Linked DNA regions of Cricetulus griseus. The protein of the gene in region 1 purifies or fractionates together with the protein of each later gene. This does not show direct contact. Links are inferred from orthologs where the notes say so. Each region holds a gene or a part of one and is shown on either strand. Other genes may lie near its edges.

Evidence for each region. The genes of interacting proteins can lie anywhere in the genome.
Region 2: the proteins of Cbx1 (region 1) and Prr14 purify together in Homo sapiens (affinity purification with mass spectrometry; 3 studies listed by BioGRID and IntAct, counting the BioPlex papers as one, with this or other methods). This does not show direct contact. The link is inferred for Cricetulus griseus from reciprocal best matches to the Homo sapiens genes CBX1 and PRR14.

What each region holds. Positions count from the first base shown.
Region 1 is NC_048600.1:109,938,321-109,945,930, reverse strand, and holds the start of Cbx1 (chromobox protein homolog 1), read right to left. Parts: upstream 4,707-7,610; 5' UTR 4,528-4,706; intron 1-4,527. UniProt on the Homo sapiens protein: Component of heterochromatin. Recognizes and binds histone H3 tails methylated at 'Lys-9', leading to epigenetic repression. Interaction with lamin B receptor (LBR) can contribute to the association of the heterochromatin with the inner nuclear membrane.
Region 2 is NC_048596.1:73,285,313-73,292,840, forward strand, and holds the start of Prr14 (proline-rich protein 14), read right to left. Parts: upstream 5,044-7,528; 5' UTR 4,771-5,043; coding exon 4,679-4,770; exon of another isoform or gene 4,604-4,678; intron 4,415-4,603; coding exon 4,343-4,414; intron 4,233-4,342; coding exon 4,064-4,232; intron 3,413-4,063; coding exon 3,291-3,412; intron 3,220-3,290; coding exon 3,030-3,219; intron 2,125-3,029; coding exon 2,081-2,124; intron 1,985-2,080; coding exon 1,779-1,984; intron 1,427-1,778; coding exon 841-1,426; intron 706-840; coding exon 636-705; intron 560-635; coding exon 468-559; intron 373-467; coding exon of another isoform or gene 318-372; exon of another isoform or gene 198-317; intron 192-197; coding exon 120-191; intron 31-119; coding exon 1-30. UniProt on the Homo sapiens protein: Functions in tethering peripheral heterochromatin to the nuclear lamina during interphase, possibly through the interaction with heterochromatin protein CBX5/HP1 alpha. Might play a role in reattaching heterochromatin to the nuclear lamina at mitotic exit.

The DNA.
Region 1 (7,610 bases):
AGAGATGTGTCTGCCTCTATTCCTTAGTCCTAGGATTAAAGATGGGGGATACCACACCACATCCTGGCAGATGCTTGAATTTTTAACAAGTACAAAACAGACTTTTGCATAACAACCAATACTGGGGTGGGAGAGATAGCTCAGCAATTAAGAGCTTTTGCTTGGTTTCATTCCAAGCACAATTGTGAAGTGACTCAATTTTATGTGCAACTCCAGCTCTAGGGGATCCTTTTCCTGGCCTCTGCAGGATCCCTCATGTGCACAAAACCCACAAAGAGATAGTAATTCCAACTGGGCGTTGGCGGCGCATGCCTTTAATCCCAGCACTCGGGAGGCAGAGACAGGCAGATCTCTGTGAGTTCGAGGCCAGCCTGGTCTCCAGAGGAGTGTCAGGATAGGCTCCAAAGCTACACAGAGAAACCCTGTCTCGAAAAAACCAAAAAAAGAAAAAAGATGGTAATTCCAAAAACAAAACAAAATCTCACGACTGGAGAGATGGCTCAATAGTTAAGATCACTGGCTGCTCTTCCTGAGGATGTGGGTTCAATTTCCAGCACTTTCAAGGTAGCTTATTACCATCCCCTATTGTATTCAGTCAGAACCCTACAGTTTCTTCAAGACATAGCTTAAAGGGTACTTCTCCCATATAGCCCACCCAACCTAACCAAGTATTTCTCCTTCCCTTGGGATCCCCAAAGCATTTTGTTTCTATTTACCCTCAGACAGTCAATTGGCATTCTGAGCCTTGTGCAAATTATGAACATTGTATGCTCAACAAAGATGTTTCAAAATCAAACAACAGGAAATAAAAGTACAAAGCTGCCACGTTTTAGGGAGTCACCAATCAATAAACCCTGAACTGAAAACAAGGACAAGGTATCTTTGCTGCTATAACTGGCAACTACACACCAGTAATCAAAATACAAATGAAGGCATTTGTAGTAGCAAAGTATACTCAGGTGCCAGTCTTTCTAAACCGCTTTTAGTTGGCTTTTTATTTGGCTGTTTGTGAAGCAAATGCTTTCCAGATGCAAATCTGAATGAACAGAGCAGGAGCAGTAGTTTTGTTTTTGAGTGTGGCTGTGCGAGCAGAATTAGTTGGTAGGTACTGAATCAGAAGCAAACCCACAGACTTTTTTCTTTTTCTTTTTTTTTTTGTGCCAGGGCCTCAACTCTGTAGTCTAGGTTGGCCTCAAGTATGTGATTCATCTTTTTGCCTCAGCCACCTGTATTTATTGTTTGTGGTAGGGAGCACTCACAGGGACAGAGGATAACTTTAAGGGTCTTACTCTATAGTCCAGACGGGCATGGATATCATTATTTAGACCAGACTTTCTTATAACTTGACACAATATTCCCTGTTCCGAATCCTTCAGAGATGCATTACAGGCACAGGCCACCATACCCAGCTGTGAAATTATTTAACTTTTCACAAAAGACATTAAGGATTTTAAGAAGGCTGCTAGTAAAGCACAATGACAGAGCACATGGGTTCTGGGGTTCAATTCAGTGAACTACCACCACCAGAAAAAGAAAGAAAACAAACACCAGCCCAACAGTCCCCAAATTTTGTCTAGAAAGTGTAGTTCACCAGTAGAAAGCTTGCCAAACTGGGATGCAGCTCAGTCTTCGTGCTTGCCTAATGTGTAAGAAGCCATGGATTCAATTCTTCAGATGCAAAAAGCAAAGACCTATATATATAAAAATAAAACCCGTAGGCTAGATATGGTGGTACACATCTATAATCTCATTTCAAGGCCAATCTAGGCCATAGTGAGTTCCAAGCCAACTTGGGACATAGATAATAAAATCCACACATACCAACTTCTGCAAGGTCTAATTCCCAAAACTTAGAAAATGGGGCTATCAAGCTGGTTCAGTAGGTAAAGGTGTTTGTCTCACCAAGCCCAACATACCTGTGTTCACTCAACAGATTAGCATAACAGTAGAAGAGAAGGACAACGGATTGTTCTTTGACCTCCACAGCATATCATGGCACACTCCCTACCCCCACGTTTAAAAACTAAAACACCGCCACCCTCCAAAACCCAACTCGGTGTGGTGGTGAACAACTTTAATTTCAGCACTCAGGAGACACAGGCAGGCATGTCTCTGAATTTGAGGCCAACCTGGTGTATATATCAAGTTCCAGGTCATCCAGAGATAGTCAGATCCTGTCTCAAAATATAAAACAATAAAGACATAAATAAATGAAAATGTCTTTACTCCCAGCACTTGGGTAGGGGTGGGGCAGAGGCAGGCAGATTTCTGAGTTTGAGGCCAGCATGGACTATAGGGTAAACTCCAGGACAGCCAGGGACACACAGCCTTTTATTTCAAAAAATTGTTCAGAGGGCCTCAGAGATAGTTTAGCAGGTAAAACTGCTTGCCATACAAAGCCTGATGGTGAGATTGATCTCCTGAGCCCATGGTAGAAGAACAGACTTCCCAAAATTGTCCTGACCTCCATACATGGGATATGGCATGCACCCATGTGCACACACAGTATTTTAACTGATCACAAAAATACCTAGAAGGGAGGGTAAAATTCTACCAATTTTATTACTATCTATAAAAAAAAGTGACCAACCAGAAGTGACTGAAGAATTATCCACAAACCTTTACTGAGAAAGTGGTTTCAATATGGGTGCTTTCCCTAGGTCCTGAACTCATGGTGCTCCTGCTCCTTCCAAGTGCTGGTTGGGATTATAGGAGTCACCAACACACACCACTGGAATCTTCTCAACATTCATTCCAAGGAGGGGCACAGGCACTAATTTCTTGATTACAGTCACACATCTATCCCCAAACCTTAGATCTTTTGAAACTATTCCAAGCTGCTGACATGATTGTTAATTCAAAACTGGAGAGGACACCTTATGTTCCAGTAAAACTTTTTTTTTCTTTTCTCTTGCTTTTTTGATACAGGTTTTCCCTCAGAGATCCACCTGTCACAGCCTCCTGAGTGCTGGAATTAAAGGTGTGCACCACCACCGCCCAGCTGTAAAACTCATTTTTTAAAAATATTTTTTGTGGTACTGGAACATAACTCAGTGGTACATAACTTGGGAAAAATGAGTTCCATATTTCATAACTTTTTTTTCTGAGATAGGGTTTCTCTGTGTAGCTTTGTAAACCAGGCTGGCCTCAAACTCACAGAGATCCGCCTGCCTCTGGCCTCCGAGTGCTGGGACTAAAGGTGTGCAACACCACCACCACCCAGCTGATAACTATTTTCTAATAAAAATATCACTACTGTGTGTGTGGAAGCCTACTTTTACCGGTCCCTGCCATACCCTCACGGGTAGATCATAGGACAATTTTCTGGAGTGGGTTCTTTCTTTCCATCACTACCTGAGTTCCAGGAGTTAAACTGAGGTCTCAAGGCTTGCTCAGATTGAGCAAACACTTTTTATCTGAGGAGTCTTGCCTTACACATGCTATTCTTAGTCTCCCAACTCACAATGAAGACCCACTATGGCAGGGCGGTGGTGGTGAATGCCTTGAGTCCCAGCACTCAGGGGGCCAGAGGTAGGTGGATCTCTATGAGTGAGGCCAGCCTGGTCTACAAAGCTACAGAGAAAACCTGTCTCAAAAACAAAACAAAAAAGACCCATTACTAGGCAAAAAGTGGCCCTTTCACCCTTTCTTGACTTCCAATGCAGCCAAGAAAGGTCTTACACTTCTGATCCTCCAGGGTGCTAAGATTACATGTCCATGCCTTCACACCCAACCAGCTTATGTGCCACTGGAGACTGAATCCAGGGTTTGCAGCCCACTAGGCAAACACTCTACAAACTAAGCTACATTTCCAGATACCCCTTTTCTCTTCCACATTTCACTCGATCCTTCTCTGGACCTCTACCCTACTTATCCCAAGAACTCCTTTACAGAATCCGGTCAAGAAAACGTCTGATCCCTCGCTCCCAGATTTGTTCAACAAATCTTTTCTCAATAAGCACACCCTGAGCAACCCAAGACCCTTGTCCTGGAAGTTACTTCTTCGTGACCCTGGCAAGAGAAATTACTGATACTGTCAGTCGGACTCAATATCCTCAAATTCCTTTTCTTTTTTCTTTCTCTCCTCCAAGTGCTACTGGGATTGCCCGCGCCCGCCACCGTGTCCGCTTTCTCAGGTTACATTTCTAAACCTCTAGCGTAGGAAGTCGTGGTCCGTGCCACGCATACCCAAAGCACCAAGCCTGTCCTCTTATGTCGCTAAGTCCTAAAGTTTTTCTTCTCCCGCCCAACTCCAAAGTCGCTCCCTCGAGTCAATCCGTCTCGGTCCAGCTCCTGAAGAGCTAACCCTCGGAAGGCTCGGCTCTCATCTGGAACCACTTGGCTCCCGGGCTCCGGATTCGCTGCCCCGCCCTCTCCAGGCTCCCGCAACCCGCGAGCTATGCGCGGGAAGCGAACGTGAAGGACCGGGCCGCGCCCCCGGCTCCGCTCGCTCCAGGCTTCCGTTCGCGGCCCTCGACCGCCCGCGGCCTCCCGCCGTCGCCGCGCCCCCTCCCCCCGCCTCTTCACCTCCTAGCAGCGCCCGAGAGTCCGCCAAGAATCGGTGCTCCGCTGCTAGTGCGTCGCGTCGGGCGGCCCGAGGGAGTAGCGCCCAGAGAAGCAATAAAGCCTTGTGGTGGCAATGGGACGCCTCGGTGAAGCCGCTTACTCCAGGCCCCGCCAATGGCCCTCCCCTCAGCCGAACAAAAGAGCTTCTCACTCTGCGCTGCCCGCCGCCGGCACCGCGCAGACGCGGTGACCCGCCACACGGCATCATGGGACTCTGAGTCCGTGCAAAACTACAAATCCCAGAGTGCCGCGCGAGTCTCTTCCCTCCCCCGCCCCGCCCCCCTACTTTCTAGGGTTGTTTCCTTTAAACTGGAAAGGCGGGGTCGACTGTAGTTTATAACTCTACAGTCTAGAAAGTTTGCTGAGTGGTGGTGGGGCTTGTTTGTTTGTTTTTTAATAACGGGGTATGTAGACCAGCAGGTTTCGAACTCGTGGCCTTTCTTTTGCCTCAAACTTCAGATGACAGGCCACAACATCTTACTCAGTCTACCCAGAACACGTGTGTTTGGAAACTAGCCCCTAGATATTTGGTCAGGAAAACCATTTGCCTCGCCCAAAAAAAACCCCAAAAAAACAAACAAACAAAAAAACCCCATTTGCCTCTGGGCAGTTCTGTAATTAATATCCTCTGCGTTTAATATGTATATATATATATATATATATATATAATAACATATTATATACATATACATATACATATATATATATATATATATTTTTTTTTTTTTTCCAGACAGGGTTTCTCTGTAGCTTTAGAGGCTGTTCTGGAACTAGGTCTTGTAGACCAGGCTCTTCTCGAACTTACAGAGTCCCACCTGCCTCTGCCTCCCAAGCGCTGGGATTAAAGGCGTGTGCCACTACTACCAGGCTAAAGAATAATCTTTAATCCCAGCGCTTGGGAGGCAGAGGCAGGTGGATCTCTGTGAGTTTGAAGCCAGCTTAGTCTACAGAGCGACTTCCAGGAGCGCACACAGAGAAACCCTGTCTTGAAAAACAAAAGAACAACAAAAATCTTAACATATTTGTCCCCTGAGATTTACCAAATCTCCACCTTTCAGTAATGTCCAGCGGTCTCTGTAATCTTTTATCTCCACCTCCATGAGGTTACTACTCCTCAGCCTTGAAATCACTTTCCCTTTCAGAAAGTACTAAATTAATCCTCTTTTTTTGTTGTTGTTTTTGTTTTCTCAAGACAGGGTTTCTTTGTGTAACAGCACTGGCTGTCCTGGAACTCACTCTGTAGACCAGGCTGGCCTCAAACTCATAGAGATCCACCTGCCTCTGCCTCCTGAGTGCTGGGATTAAAGGCATGTGCCACCACTGCCTGACTAAATTAATTTTTTGGTAGTCATCATCTGGTCACTTCCTGAATTTTCTTTTCCCTTCTCTCTCCTTTTCTTCGTCTTCTTCGTTCCCTCTTTTTTTGTTTTTTGTTTTGGTTGTTATTTATTTGTGTGGGGGGTGCACGGGGTCTCAAGGGAACCCTGGCTAACCTTGAAGTCCTGAGTCTTCTGCCTCCAAGTGCTGGAGTTATAGGCATGTGCCACCACATGCAAAAATGTCCCTTTATTGTCTGTGCCAATGGATAACTTTCATGGGGACTCCTCCATCTCAATGAGCACTCCTTACCTAACTAATTAAGCAAAAACTGTGGTTACTGTTCTTAAGCAAGTATGTAGTTCTGATTTCAGCTAGGTTGCTGCTAACTTTTGAACTGTAAACTCCACTAAGAGCCCTTATATGGCTCATTATATCCACAACACCCAATAAAGTCCTTGGTATTTGTTGTTAATATTTACATGTCCCTATTTTGGCTCTCACTGTTGGAAAAAAATTATTGAGTAAGTGATTAAGTCAATAAATGAGATGGTGTCCTCCTTCCTGACAGAAAATAGAACTGATCAAACTTCCCAAGGCTAGGTGTGATGAACCATGCCTCTTAATCCTAGTACTCAGAAGACTAAGGCAGGAGTAAATTTAAGAGCAGCTTAGGCTGTGTAGGGAATACCTGGCCAGCCTAGGCTACCGAGTGGGAGCCTGCCTCAAAAAACAAAACAATGAGAACTTTTCTGTTCAAAAAACTAAGACAAAAAGAAAAGAGAGAAAAAAAATTTTACCTCAGCAGTACCATACAAAAATTTAGTTAAAAGAGGCCAATTCGCCGGGTGGTGTTGGTGCAACGCCTTTAATCCCAGCACTCAGGAGGCAGAGGCAGGTGGATCTCTGTGAGTTTGAGATCAGCCTGGTTTACAAGAGCTAGTTCCAGGACAGCCTCCAAAGCCACAGAGAAACCCTGTCTCTAAAAACCAAAAAAAAAAAAAAAAAAAAAAAAAAAAAAAAAAAAAAAGAGGCCAATTCTTCCTGAAAATATTTAGGTTCAGCCTCCCAAAATAGGCAGCAATCAACCTATTCTTTCTTGAAGTGTGGTGTTTTGGATAACTTTGAAAATGAGAATATCAGTAATGCTTTTAGTTTTGTTTCATCTTGTATTGGTGCTGGGGATCAAACTCAGGGCCTTGCACGTGACAAGAGAGCACTTTACACACCCAGGGCATTTGCTGCTCTTGCAGAGGATCTGAGTTCTGTTCCCACCACCCATATGGTGGTTCACAACATCCTGTAATTAATCCCAGTTGCAGGGGATCCCACTCCTTTTGATCTGGCTGCACACACATACACTCCATGGCACCCCAAGCCTAAGACATTATCATTTTGGATCTACTCCAGTGCCAGGACACCTGGCTTCCTTCTTTCTCTTCTTGGTCCTGAATCTGTAACCTTGTGCATAACAAGCCAGCACTCTCCAGCTGGGCACTACTCCCAGCCTCTCCAGCCCAGGTGAAGTTATTTTTATTTTTATTTTTTTTATTTTTTATTTTTTGCTTGTTTTGGAGTCAGGGTCTTCCACACAAATTCCTTGGCCTTAAACTCTGCCTTGTACCTCAGCCTCCCAGATTGGTGAGATTATAGACCTGCACTGCAGAATAGGCACCTCAGCCATTTGTCCCAGCGTGTGAGCACCTGGGTTCAGCACTAGATAAATG
Region 2 (7,528 bases), on another chromosome or scaffold:
CGTGGTTCCTCAAAGATGGTCTCAAAGGTCCTGGGCCAGGCAGGGAGAAGAGGTGTTTACCAGCATGTTCCATGGTTCAAACAGCCCTCTATTGCCCTCAGACCTTCCAAGTTTCTCACCTTCTAGTTGTGGGTGATTGGTAATTCTTATTGGTATAAATTTCTTCCAAAGTGAACTCCTTCTTGTTCAATCTAAAGCAAAAAGCAGAGGGCACTGAGAAACCTTGAGCAAGGAGGTCCTGAGAAGGTATATGTAAAGTCTGACTGAATTTCAGTTTCTGGGCCATGCAAGAGTTGGAAGTGACATCTGAGGAAGTTCTAAGCACAAGCCACGTCGATGCTAAACTTAATTTTCCAGGCTGGACAACAATCTCTGAGAGGAGACAAGGAGACAAGGTAACTCCTTCAGGGATAGGAGTTATCACCTAATTGGTCAAGGCAGGTTCCCCTGCTCTCTGAGCCTCTCACCTGATTGGTCGAGGCAGCCCCATTGGTGTAAGGTTTGGCTGTAGACGGACAGGAGTCCTCCGTATTCTGAATCTAGAAACTTTTCCCATGGTCTGCAAAAATGGGGCAGAGGGTGAAAGAAAGGCATGGGCTCAGGCCTCAGCTGACTCCTGTCTCTTTGCTCATTACCTTGGTCTCTGGGTCAGAAAACACCTTGTCCTTTGAGGCTTTTAACTCCTTCCCCTTGGTTGAACCCAATCTGCAGAGATGGTCAACAGTCAGGGACAAGGAAATACACAGCAATACACCCGTCTTCTGTCACTGGTTACTGAGCAAAGGAGGCCAGGCTCAGGCTGTGGCCAAGGCTTCCAGAAGGGTTTATTGAGAGCACTACCTGTGTTCTGCTGGTTCGCAGAAGAAGGAAGTGGATGCAGTGGATGAGCAAGATGTAGTGAGAGAAGGTGAGGCTCCCACACCTCCAAGAGGGAAGACCTCTTTCCGGAGACAGGGCCGAGGAGGTGGTGGGGTCCGGGCCATCTCCCCACAACCCACAGTATGTCTCCGGGGCCTGGACTGGCTTGGCTGGGATGGAACAGGAGGCCAGGTACAGCTACCTGGGCCAGGGGGCCCCAGATCAGGGCAGGAGTAGCTTCGGCCCAGAGATAACTTAGAGACAGGTGCTAGGGAATTGTCCTGAGTCCGCCACTGGCGGATAGGGGGCCGGGGGCTGACAGATGCAATTCTCTCAGTAGCCCTGGACTGCTCAGCCTCTGAGATAGCAATCTTCAACTCCAATTTCATGGGAGGTGATGGGGGTGGAGGCTGTGGTGCTTTGTTAGGCGTGAGGAAGATGTCAGCGAAGCTCTCAAGCTTGGATCGGACGGAACGGAAGAGAGGGGCCAAGCCCCAGGGACTGAGACGGGGGCGTAAAAGGCTGGACGGTGTTGGGGTCAATGGGACCTCCAGAACAGGATCTGGGGCTGAGGAAAGGAGAGGGTCACAGGCGGGCATTCCTCACCCCCAGGTGATTTAAGCACCACCTCACAAGCCTCAGTCTCTTCCCCCAAACACTAACTTCTCTCTAGAGGAGTAACTGTGCTCCTAAAGTTCTGTAATTAGGATTGCCTAACACGTCTAAGCCCTGGATTTGATCCCCAGTATTGCAAAGCAAAATAAGACCTTCTCAAGTTCCTGAGCCCCAAATCACATTTTGTACACCCTGATCTGCCCTGGGTCAGGGTGAAGCCCCACCCATAGTTCTGCCCCTGATGTTTCAGGCTCATGTTGGCTCCTGGAGACTTTTGAGTCTCATTCCTTCATTCAAGTCCTTACCTGGTAGTGGGCTCTCTGGAGGGTCAGCAGGCAGAGTGGACGGTTGGAATGGAGGTTCTAGTTCTCTGGGTGTAGGCACTGGCTGATGAACTTTTGTCATAGGCTCAGCTCTGGCGTGAAAGGACAAAGTAAGAGTTGGTGGTGCTTCCAAATCCAGATCCCTCTTTGGCCAGTGCTTCCCCTGGCCCTTAAGGCTTCTGAAGGTACTATAAGGAAGGGTTAGATAAGTAAACCCAATGCCCCCAGCTCTATACATTTGGATGATAATCGGCTTTGATAATCCCTTCTCCTAGCCCTCTCACCTTTGTGCTGGAACAATGAAGTTGGGCCCATCTTCAGCAAAACCCTGGATATAAACAGAGGAGGTGTTTTGAAAAAGCAAGAAGCCATCTTTGGCTGCCCCAGCTCTCCATGTCCTGACTTATTCCCCAGATATCTACTTGGCTGTATAGAAAAGATTTTTTTCTTATACCCTTTATTCAGGTAGTGTCTATCACATAAAATGTTGTCATTGGGGCGGTGGCACAAGCCTTTATCCCAACACTTGAAAGGTAGAGGCAGGCTATAAATTGGGTCAGCGTGGTCTACATAGCAAGATATAGGTCATAGTGAAACCTGTCTCAAAAAGTGGGGGTGGGGTGGTAGTGCACACCTTTAATCCCAGCGCTCAGGAGGCAGAGGCAGGTGGATCTCTCTGAGTTCGAGGCCAGCCTAGTTACAATACAAGTTCCAGGACAGCCAGGGCTGTTATGTAGAAAAACCCCATCTCGAAGAAAAAAAAGGAGGGGGGGCAGGCTAGAGAGATGGCTCAGTGGTTAAGAGGCACTGCTATAGCCGAGCGTTGGTGGCGCACGCCTTTAATTCCAGCACTCGGGAGGCAGAGGCAGGTGGATCTCTGTGAGTTCGAGGCCAGCCTGGTCTCCAGAGTGAGTGCCAGGATAGGCTCCAAAGCTACACAGAGAAACCCTGTCTCAAAAAACCAAAAAACAAAACAAAAAAAACCCAACAACAAAAAAAGAGGCACTGCTATTCTTTCAGAGGACCCACGTTCAATTCCCAGCACCCAACTGCTTCAGGGGATCTAATGCCCTCACACAGACATACACGCAGGCAAAACACCAATCAATGTACATAAAATAAAAATAAATAAGTTATTAAAAAAAATTCTGTTGTCCTACGTTTACAGAAATCCGCCCCAGCCTCATGCTTGCCTTAGCTGGACCCAGACATCTTCACCATACTTTCTTATACCTCAGCTGGTTGTCTGGGGCTGGCAATGTCTTCCAGTACCACCACCAGGGTAGGTTGGGTGGTCTGGTCCATCTTTTGTGAAGGGCTCTCTGCTGGGCCAGGGGCTGTCCTTGATCTCATCTTCAAGGTGGGAGAGGACTGGTGGGTCCGGCTCAAGGGTTCTCGGCACAAATGCAGTGGGTCAGGAGGTCTAGAGAAAGAACAGGAGCATCAGTGGGCTCAGCTGTGTTCTCAGCTTATTTCCTTCCCTGTCACACTCACCTGGCTTGGAAGGACCACTTGACTTGCTGGGGTGGTAACGCAGGTGACTGACTGTAGACAGAGTCCTGATGATTGTTGCGATTCATTGGCCTGGCAGTGTCCTCTTGGTATGCCAGGGGGACCTAAGAGAGGAAGAGTTGTTAAAAGAAAGCCAACCTGGGCTCATGCCTATAATCCCAGCACTTGCAAGGCTAATACAAAAGGATTGAGAGTTCCAGGCCAGCCTGGGCTAAAAAGTGAGACCCTGTCTTAGTAAGACAAACCAACAACAAAGAGCAAAGTAATGGAATGAGGCCAAGTGGACAGGATCTTCTGTGTCTCAGTGTCCCTACTCACAGAGGAGACAGATTTTGGCTAGAATTCACTCAGATTCCTAAAGGAAGTGATTTGGTCTGAATTAGGGGTGAGGTATTATAGTCAGGAGCTACAGGTGTGAAATGTAAGTAATCTAATCTAATCCAGGTTCTGAAGAAATGGAAAAAAGGTGACATTTTCCTCATCTCTGTCATGTAGCCAAAGACACCACCAGCAAACTTCCCAGGGGGCAGGGTAGTCAAAAGAGTTTCTCATACTTAGTAGAATATGGTTCCAGCTCAGTGGAGAGTGCGGGAAGGACAGACATAGGAGTTACCCCAGAACCATGCAGAAGTCTTGCATTAAGGAGACTGCTTTGAACGTTGGTTTAAGAGATCTGGTCTGACTTTAGTACTGAGCCGGGTGGTGGGGTGGGGGGTGTAGGGAAAGGGGAGGGGTCTTTCAATTAAAGGGCTCACCCTGTTTGTAGCCACGACATCTTCCAGGACTACGGCCAGGACGCGCCGAGAGGCCTTTTCCAAGGACGAAGGGGTCCCTAGGGGCTGCAGCCTCGGTCTTTTCGGGCTCTTGGCTTCCCATAGTGCTCGAGTTAGGGGCTGACGGCACAGGCTTGACTGTCTAGAAGGGCTGAAGGGTGAAAGAAGACAGTTGTCTGAGGCGGTTGTTGGCTCTGTACAGCCGCCAGGATCCCGGTGTCCCGGGCTCAAGACAGGCAGGCAGGCGGGGTGCGCTCTCACCTGGAATCCCCAGGCAAGTCCATGGGGAAAGCGATGGTTCCGGGGAGTCCCTGGGGGATCCCAGGCTGCGGCCTGGGGTAAAGGGGGAACAGGGGAGTGGGGAGTGAGGGCCAGCTCCTCTCCGGGGACTCCGCCCTTCATGTTCAGCCTGCGGCTCCCCGTAGGCCACAGGCCCTTCCTCGAAAGGGCGCCCCCAGCTGCCCGTTCGGAGCCGGGTCCTCCCGTGGCAGCCGCCTTGATCACTCGGGCCCTGCCTGGCACCTGCCGAGACTGGATCGCGGAGGTCACAGCTCTCCCACGGATCGAGCCTCCTGGGACTTTTGTCCCTGTAGATACCTCCCTGAGCTTCTCAGGGATCCGCTGGGATCCCGGTCCTGGGAGGCTCCGTTTCCTCTAGATTCCTCTGTGATCCTCGCCCCGCCAAGCATGGGCTCCAGAAGAATTACTCCACATACTAACAGCTCTCCCTTCCCACCAGATCGCCTAAATTGGATCTCGGTGGAAAGAATCCTACAGCGCGGTTCTTCCAATCAGAACCTGCGCGACTCGCCTCCTCCCACTGTGGGCTTCGTCTTAACAAAGTTCCTCAGGATGGAGGCCCAAGCTCATCTACGAACTCAGTTCGGATTCCGGGGTGTAGGCTGTCAACCCGACACCCCGTTCACGCCAATCCCGGAAGGTCCAGCCCACCGGTAACATCCCACCCCAAGCCCCCGCCCTGCTTGGATCCCCGCCCCGAGTTCTCCGGAGCCCGGGACCAGATGGCTCAAAGGTTTCCTTCTCCGCCGGCCTCTCTGCCCTCTCAACAGCCGGGTCCCCCTACCCCTCCCACCCTTTCCCTGCGCCGCTCACCGCAGCTTTCCAAGGATCCCGGGTTTTCGACAGCTCCCACCTCCGGCTTCTTTAAAACCAGCCTTTCGCAGCTCTGTCCAACCGTCAGAGGCCTTCTTCTCTGTGTCTTGGGCACCGCCCAATCGCCGGCCCTGGTCTTCCGGGGTTAGGAGAAACTACGTGAAACCGCCAGGCGGCCATGATTCCTAGGGGCAAGAAGCTAAACTGGGGACAGCACCGCCATTATAATTGAGGGCAGGCAGGCTTGAGCACTAGTCGACCGAATAGGGTCATTTTTCAAAGGCCAGTCAGCCGTCAACTACTATGGCAGATTTCTTGATATATTTGGACAACTGTAGTGAAGCTAAAGTTTCTCCACCTTTTGTAAAGTCATCTTCCGTATTTTTATTTTTTTTTCTTGTTCCTATGCCAGTAAACATCGATTAAGTGCTAACAACTTGAGAAATTCCCATTCTCTTAGGTTCCTCCGGGATTGAGGGGAAAGAAGGGCGGGGACCGTGAAGATCCAAGGTTAAAAATTAGTGCCGGCGTGTCTCCTCTGACTTGTTCTATTTGGAGAGACTGGGCAGAGCTTAAGTGGGGAAAAGGCTGGATGAGTTTCATTCACTGGCGCATATGTTTACTTCTTCCTAAAGTACTGTCTCCAGGCCACTTGGAAGGTCGGTAGAAGTTCAGTTGCAGGAGACCAATAGCCAATCTTGGGTTGCTCGGTGGAGCAGGTTCAGTGTCCTTTCTATTCTGGGCTCGCAGAAGTAACTTTTTGAAGAGAAGTCTGTCCTATGCAGGGTGTCAGTAATCTTTAGGGATAAGCGGTAAGGAGTAGAACCCTAGTGCTTGGAGATCCTGCACCAGTAGACCCTTTATTAGGAGCTGGACTGTTGGTGGGGAAGTGGGCTTTTACTGGCATTTTGCACTGTAAATGTGTCTTCATCACCTAACCAAAGCCCTAACTTCCCTAAGATTCCCTGTTCCAAACCAGTCCAAGAGACTGAGTGTGTGTTATGTGTATGTGGAGGCCAGAAAGCCTTGTTGGGTGTCTTCCTCAATTGCTCCCCCCTTTCTTTTTAAGGGGAAAAAAATTACTTTTTAAAAAGTATGCTTATTGCCAGGCAGTGGTGACTTACTTTCAATCTCAGCACTTGGGAGGCAGAGGCAGGCAGATCTCTGTGAGGCCAGCCTGGTCTACAGATCGAGTTCCAGGACAGCCAGGGCTGCACACAGAAATCCCCTGGCGTATATGTTTACTTCTTCCTAAAGTACTGTCTCCAGGCCACTTGGAAGGTCGGTAGAGGCTCAATTGCAGGAGACCAATAGCCAACCTTGGGTTGCTTGGTGGAGCAGGTTCAGTGTTCTTTCTATTCTGGACTCAACCCCCGCCCCACAAAGGTTCAGTCTTCCCAGTTCAAAAGACCTAATTAAGAGAAAAATCCCTCACAGGCGTACTCAGCCACTTGAGTTTTAGTTAATTCCAGATGTAGTCAAGTTGAAAACTAAGAATAGCCATCGCAGGGCCCAGGTTGGCTGAAAATTCACAGCAATCCTGCCTTTAGCTTTCTAAGTGCTGGGATTACGGATAAGCACCTCTATGTTTGGCTAGTGAACACTTTACTTGAAATATTCAAATACCATACAATTCACCCATCCAAATGTACAATGCAATATTTTTTAGTCCCCAGAGCCATGAGAAAAAAAAAAAGTAAATGGTTTTTAAAACCTAAGTGTTATTTATTTATTGGAGGCAGGGTATGCCAGAGCAAGTAAAGGTCACAGAACTTGAGGGAGTCCATTCCTTCCATCATGCGGATCTGGGGGATTGAATTCATGTTGTTAGGTTTGGCCAGCAAGTGTCTTTACCTGCTGAGCCATCTCACAAGCATATTCTCTGAGTACAAAACTATCATTTGCTCCAACGGAAATCCCACACCTCTTGGCCATAATTTCTTCCATTCATCACTTATCTAGTCCTTAGTAAGCCATATCTACTTTCTCTTTTGTTGCTGGCTTTTTGTTTGTTTTGTTTTTTTGAGACAGGATCTCCCTGTGTAGCCCTAGATATACTGGAACTCACTCTGTTGACCAGGCTGGCCTTGAAATCAGAGCCACTCGCCTCTGCCCCCCAAGTACTGGGATCAAAGGCGTGCGCCACCATGGCCCCTATGGCTGTTGCCCCTTAAGAGTCCTTGGTGTATTGTCTGCATGTATGTAAGCGTACTATATACAAGCATAGTGTACACAAAGGCCTGAAGAGGGCTTCATATCCCTAGAACTGGATTTAAAGAAGGTTGTGAACCACTATGTGAGTGCTGGGAAGTAAACCCAGGTCCTCTGCAATAC